2 linked regions of the Arabidopsis thaliana genome follow. The protein of the gene in region 1 interacts with the protein of each later gene in a pairwise test. Each region holds a gene or a part of one and is shown in the gene's direction. Other genes may lie near its edges.

Region 1 (3,760 bases):
GACTATGAACCTAAAAAAACTATGCCAGTAACTTACATACGCTGATAATATAACCCAAAATATACTGTACATTCCATCATCCCTCCATTAGTCTCAAATTTTCCACATTCCAAACTATATGTCCCACTATTTATACCAAACTCAGATCACATTTCCAGGTTCAGTTTATCCTCTCTAGCAATAGTGAACGGGTCTAAAAACAGAAACCTAACCATCAAAAACAAGCACCCAATACAGACACAAAAACAAAAAATGGAGTACCTAGAGTCCAGAACGAGCAATCAGTCTTCACAGGAGCACTAAGATCGTGCTGAAAATTGACAAAATTTAGACAATTGAATCGAGTTATATATACCACATCGAATAACTCAGATTTATGAGACAAACGGATCAAAAACATTGAAAGATAGCGAAAGAAACTGACATTGAGATAGGGAGGGTTGCCTTTGATGCCAACTTCGATATGTTTCGACTGGATTTTGCAGTGGAATGACTTTGGATGAACATTTGGCGGCAAAGTTATGTACATGTTCACTTCTTCCAGGGTTTGATCCCACTCAAATACCTTTTGACCTATAACCATCGGAAATCGAAGAACATTCAAACCAAATCTCGTGAAATGGAATCAGCTGAAATTAGAGAAATAGAGCGAGGGGATAGAGAAAGCGAGAAACCATTGTGAATGAAATCGTGTCTCTTCTCTGGCGCAAGCTTCTCCGCCATATCTAGGGTTTTCTTCTCCGTTCCCGGCGAAATCGATCACCGTTGATAGTAGTTGTTCTGGTTCCTTTTCAATTCGTCTCAACATTGGAGGACAGGCATTTATGATTCAGTCCTTTCATAATCATGTATTTTCTTTTAGGGTTCTTAGTTTTAGTTATTTACGCTTAGATCCCTTTTCTTGAGGTACACTCCGTTTCTAACTTGGAAGTCAAAACTCCATGCCGTTTTATTGAAGTTCTTCCAAGTTCCAAGAAACATTTTTTTGTTGTCGCCAAAGTAGAACACTCTTTCACAATTCCACAGAAAATTTAAAGATGAGAAGTGGGTCTATTCAATGCATAGAATACGGAGGAAAACAAAATTGAAAGAAGAGTAATGTGTAGGTCTACCACAAAACATGGTCCATTTTAAAGCCTTAAACGTAGCCAAGTGTGTTAGTTTTTTAGCTTTTCAATGTCCTTTGGGACAAGAGATACACTGTACCCATTTCCCCCTTTCAGTTTCTTCAACGTAGACAGGGTAGTTATTCAATTTTCTCATATTAAAACGTTATACGTGATCAAAGACTTTGACTTATAACAGAAGAATAATTTTGATCAATCAAAAAGTTGTTTGATAATGTAAATTATGGTCTTCCATTTCGCTAATCCAAAAACTTACTTTCTCAATTCCATTGGTCAACTTGTTTCATTTGATGAAATTCGATATGATACATGTTTGGCCACTGCATGAATCGAACGACAGTTAGATCTCAAATCGGTTTGGTTTCGGGTACATGAGTTCTAGTTATGAAAAAACAATCATCACGACTCACGAGTGTATATATAACTAGTTCATTGAATAAGTTGTCGGCTAATATTCGGTTTTGACCGGTGAGACTGTTAACTAAAATGAATACTATTAGAGTAGAGACCCACTTGAAGTGTACTATAATTTTAAAAGCCGGCCAGCAACCACGGGCCAGACTCTGCCTCTCGCAAAATCTTGACCGTCCGATTGAGAACCGGACAAAATGCTGTACACGACGGTTCCTTAAAAAACTATTGTAACAACTGTTGCTTTCGTAACACATTCCAGAACCACAAATTAAATTGATAAACACGTTAACATGAAACCCAAAACACTGTTTGACTTTAGTCTATTTTATCTTAAACAAATGTTGCTTCGTTATGCTACATCGTAGCTGTGTTCAAAGCAACTTGCTTTGGATAATTTATCATAGCCTTTAAAACAGGTAAGCATCGAGTCTTGAAACTATCCTAAAACACGTTGAATCAGTCCCACAAACTTTTTTTGTCTTTACTCTAAGCGTTTATATGAAGCTTTGATCAAAGTCCATAACTCACTAATAATCACAATGGGGTCTGAAAATGGCAGCTTGATGAGAAGAAACGAAGTAGACGAGAATGTAGCGTTAATCTTTGGCGTCACCGGGCTTGTGGGTCGAGAGATTGTTAAGACGCTATTAATGTCTAAACCAGGATGGAGAATCTACGGCGTAGCGCGTAACCCGGAGATCAATTCCATGACGAAGATGTACAACTTCATCTCCTGCGATCTGCTTAACGCATCTGAGACTAAACAGAGGTTGTCTCCATTACAAGACATCGTGAGTCACGTGTTTTGGGTCACGTGGTCTGGTGAGTTTCCATTGGATACCGACGAATGTTGCGTACAGAACAAGACGATGCTGATGAACGCTTTGGACGCGATTCTCCCAAACGCTAAGAGGTTAAAGCATTTCTCGCTTCAAACGGGGATGAAGCATTATGTGTCTTTGGTGGAAGAGACAATGGCTCGTGGAGAAGGTTCGAGTTTGTATTATTACAGCGAGGAGTGTCCAAGAAAGAGCTCTGGGAAGAATTTCTACTATGTTTTGGAGGACTTGCTGAAGGAGAAGATCACTCGTAGTTCCGTTGTTTGGTCGGTTCAAAGACCTGGTTTGCTAATGGGAAGCTCTTCAAGAACTCTGTACAACTTCATGGGAAGTCTTTGTGTTTATGGAGCGATGTGTAAGTATTTGAATCTTCCTTTTGTGTTTGGAGGAACAAGAGAATGTTGGGAAGAGAGTTACATAGATGGCTCTGATTCGAATTTAGTCGCGGAGCAGCATATATTCGCTGCAACAAGTGGGAAAGTACGCGAGAAAGGGGAAGCTTTTAACGCCATTAATGGAGTAGGGTTTACTTGGAAGGAGATTTGGCCGGAAATAGGGAAGAAACTTGGTGTACAAGTTAACGAAACAACCATGTTTGATGAAGGTTTCTGGTTTGGGAGAGAGATGGTTGAGAGAAAACATGTGTGGGATGAGATTGTTGTGAAGGAGAAGCTTGTTAGGACAGAGATTGAGGATTTGGCGAATTGGTATTTCTTGGATGCTCTGTTTAGATGTCCGTTTAAGCTTCTTGGGAAAAGAGAAAAAGTAGATAGGTTTGGGTTTAAGAGGAAATATAGAACCCTAGATTCGGTTTTGTATTGGATTGATGTGATGAGAGATGAAAAACTCATTCCTTTGTAACACATGTTGTACATTAGCAATGTAGATCACGGTATATATGTACTTGATCAATAATCCTCATGTAAGTTTTGTTTGTTTGAATAATGAGCTTTCCACAAATCCTTTTAAGCTAAATCATTAAACATAAATCCTTTGCAGTGAAATGCAATAGCTAAGTTAGATTCCAAGCAGTGGATAACCAAAATTCCAGTCAGGTTTCGTAAACGCGTCCGAACAAATGTGAATGTATTGTGACATATAATAAGATGAAGTAGTGGCAGACCATACTTGAGACAACAACAAGATGATTAGCTGGACTCAGTTTGTTTATCGATGTTATTGCATACGTAGTACAGATGAGTTTTGGCTGTCAAGATGACGTAAGAGTAAAGACATTTCATCCCATGTCTCCACTCTTCACTCAGCGAGATCAAGAATCATTCCAACAAGTAAGAGAAAACAGGGGAGAGTAAAAACTGAAGAGAAGATTCAAGATTGATCCATTCCACATACTTACTACAATTCATACTTAAGAATCAC
Region 2 (3,548 bases), on another chromosome or scaffold:
AGAGCTAATATTGAATATCTAGTTGTTGTTCTAGATATGTGTGGTATAGAGAGTATATGATTAGAAGACTAGATTTATCATTTATATATAGAGAGAACATTTTAATGAGTGGAAGAAAAGTAAAGGAAGAAAGATTCGCTTATTTTTTTCAAAAGGTAAGCTAAACAAAATCATGAACTATTTTACGTAAACCAGAAAATATAGAGCTACGCACGAACACGAGACGTCTCTTTAGTAAAATATTGAAAATTTGAAATGTGATAATGATTAAGAGTCCTGCAAATTATGAGATAACGTACAAGGAAAAAGGTTTAGATGATAATTAGAGTAGCTAGACCGTTAAGAGGGATGTAATTAAATTGATAAAGTACGTGCTATTCAAGATTCTTCCATATGTGGATTTCAACCCGAATTTCCAAGAAATATTCTTGATTAGGCCGACGAATATTGTTATTCGATGCCTCTATTCTACTCAATAATGTTTCTTCGTCTTTATTTAGTTTACTAATTATATGTTTGATACATAAATAAATACGAATTATGGAGTGTGTTTGTATATACATAAATACGAATACGAATTATGGAGTGTGTTCAAATAATTATACATAAATAAATAAATACGAATTATGAATTATATACAAATATAAATTATATACACTTGAAGCCTGACGATTACAATAGCAGCTGATCATTATCTTCGGGGTGAATTCAAATTATGGATTGTGTTTGATTTCCTCAAGTCTTAATTTTCATCTACTTTTCAAACGACTAATTAATAGTGGCTACATAACTAACGACTCGATGATAAACACTCCAAAAAGCAATCAATCACTTGAGCAAAAGTTCAAAAGAAAACACTCCAAAAAGCAAACGCAAACACCAAACAAAACAAAACTCAAGTAGAGTTTTAGATAAAGCAACAGTAGAATTTTAGAAAAACCAAATTAAAACACCAAGTGTTTATGCCAAATAAATTGGCTAGACGAAGCAAAACAAGAACACATTATTGATAGTGTAGATTTGGAGTTCACTAATTGATAGTGCAACGTTTGAGTTCAACATTGCCTAGGCTGAGTGAGAATATCTTATTGTTTCCATCCACGAATTTGAGAAAGTAACTACATGTTACCTTTACCTTCTTGTTATTCTCGTCAACCTCATTTATCTCGGTCATCTCAACATGAACAAGTTCCGCAAACCTCCATTTGTTTTCATTATCTCATTTTGATTGTCCCAATCATGTCAAACTCATCTTTTATCGCTTGCACCCCCTTCTTCATGTAGTCTCCACCACCGGTTGCATAGGCGTCTTTAAAAATGCTCTCGAGTTCCCTCCAGTTGTCTTTGCCCCAAGTTCCTGGTGTCTCAAGACACCATAATTCATATATAACTCATAATTCATATTTATTTATGTATATAATTTGTATTTGTATATAATTCATAATTTGTTTAGCTTCAAGTGTACATAATTTGTATATAATTTAATTTCACAGTTTATAGATATATTTAGTAAACCTTTATCATTCATGATCAATTGATCATATGATTGTTTCATTTGTTCAACGAGAACACTCATAGGGTGGGAAATGAGATGATAATTATTGAAATGATCATATAAACAATTGTAGGAAGTCGTAATTTATCTGCAAATAAAATTAGAATATTATTAACTACACTAATTTACTAGTTTGTGTTGTGTTATCCTTGTAACATCATATAGATACAAACCACTGAACCAGTAAGATTGTTTGTTTGTTGAAAAAAAAAAAATGGTTTTATGAACCAATAGTGGAATATATTGGGCCTCTTCCAACATTATAGACCCATCTAAAAATTGCTATTAACTCCAACTTAATATATTGGGCCTATTCCAAAACATTATAGGCCCATAAAATTTAGGCCTTTAGAATATCTAACACGGTTTTGCCGCAACTTCAGTTTCCACTAAAATCGGAACAACAAATTCACACTCTCTCCGCCGCGCACAGACTCACCGACACCACCAATAATGTCTTCTTCTCCGGCGATTCTTCCCGTCACCAACCAGCAAGCAGCCACTCAATCTCAACCTCCAATCAATTCTCACGCCTTCCGTACTTTCCTCTCACGCCTCTCGTCCTCTCTCCGCGAAAGCCTCTCTCAACGCCGTCCATGGCTAGAACTCGTAGATCGGAGCTCCTTCGCTAGACCTGACTCTCTCACCGATTCCTTCTCCCGGATCCGTAAGAATCTCGCTTACTTCAAAGTCAATTACTCCGCAATTGTCTCGTTAGTCCTTGCTTTCTCCCTCCTCTCGCATCCATTCTCGCTTCTCGTCCTCCTCTCTCTCTTAGGCTCCTGGATGTTTCTCTACCTCTTCCGATCTTCAGATCAGCCTTTGGTTCTCTTTGGTCGTAGTTTCTCAGATCGTGAGACTTTGCTTGGTCTTGTTTTGACTACGATTGTGGTTGTGTTTATGACGAGTGTTGGATCTTTGTTAACATCGGCGTTAACGATTGGAATCGCGATTGTTTGCTTACATGGTGCGTTTAGGGTTCCTGATGATTTGTTCTTGGATGAACAAGAGCCTGCTAATGCTGGTTTACTCTCGTTCATTGGTAATTCTGCTGCTACTTCTGCTGCTGCTTCTGTTGTTGCAGGACGAGTTTGAGAAGCTCGAATTTGATGATTCTGATCCTAGAGAACAAACGAAACCTGGATTCTCAGGGTTTTTAGTTATGTTTTGAGTATAGATTCGATGAAGATCTGTAAGTGTTAGATCTAAAGATGCATTGTTGTGTTGTATTCTTCAATTTCGTCACAATTTAGAAAATTTGGAGCTGATCCTTCTCAAGTATTGTAAGATCTCATTTACCTTAAATCAATTTGATACTCTTTGCCTTCATCACCATATGTTTGAGTTAGATTTAGACTAAACCAGTGAAGATTATAGTTTGACCAAAGTATTAAGGATTAAACAAACAACATGTAGTTTAACAACATACGTGGTAGATGTAAATCTTGTAACTAGTTATGTCTATGTCTCTCTAGCTACCAACTATTTTATTCTTCCACAAGTTTCCTCTATCTCGAAAGCGAACAGCCAATACTGTGTACGAATTTGCTGATAGTAAGAGGGTTATATCATGGGAAAGTTTCCCACTGGATTTACATGTTTGGCCAATTTGACAAAAACGACACACGTTTAGTTTGGGGATTTTGTCTTAAAAACTCGGCTGCCAAAAACAAACTGAAGATTCGGTCACCTGAATTGTCTTTTTCGGTCAAAGTCTCACTGAGTTGCTTCTTTCTTAGATATAATATAGGTGACCTGTTTTTAATCTTCATAACATGAGATATATTTTCGTGGAATGAGTTGTGTCTTGTGAAATCTTTTTTCTTTGGTTTTAATGTTAAGAATGTCTTGTGAAATCTTTTCCTGGATTCTAATTATTGGTGAGAATGTGAGATAAAAACAACACTTAGGTACTAAGTTACTAACCATTAAACATGAAGATAAATAGACAAATCCTCTTGTGTAAAGAAGATTATCCCACTTGTAACGAGAA

What was found.
Region 2: the proteins of AT5G58750 (region 1) and PRA1.B2 interact in a two-hybrid assay, tested with the Arabidopsis thaliana proteins (one large-scale study listed by BioGRID).

The regions. Positions count from the first base shown.
Region 1 is NC_003076.8:23,726,806-23,730,565, forward strand, and holds AT5G58750 (NAD(P)-binding Rossmann-fold superfamily protein), read left to right. Parts: upstream 1-1,782; 5' UTR 1,783-2,080; coding exon 2,081-3,241; 3' UTR 3,242-3,337; downstream 3,338-3,760. Other genes in the region: AT5G58740 (HSP20-like chaperones superfamily protein), read right to left, coding at 262-310, 425-573, 675-723.
Region 2 is NC_003071.7:16,863,836-16,867,383, reverse strand, and holds PRA1.B2 (prenylated RAB acceptor 1.B2), read left to right. Parts: upstream 1-1,796; 5' UTR 1,797-2,008; coding exon 2,009-2,650; 3' UTR 2,651-2,938; downstream 2,939-3,548. UniProt on the Arabidopsis thaliana protein: May be involved in both secretory and endocytic intracellular trafficking in the endosomal/prevacuolar compartments.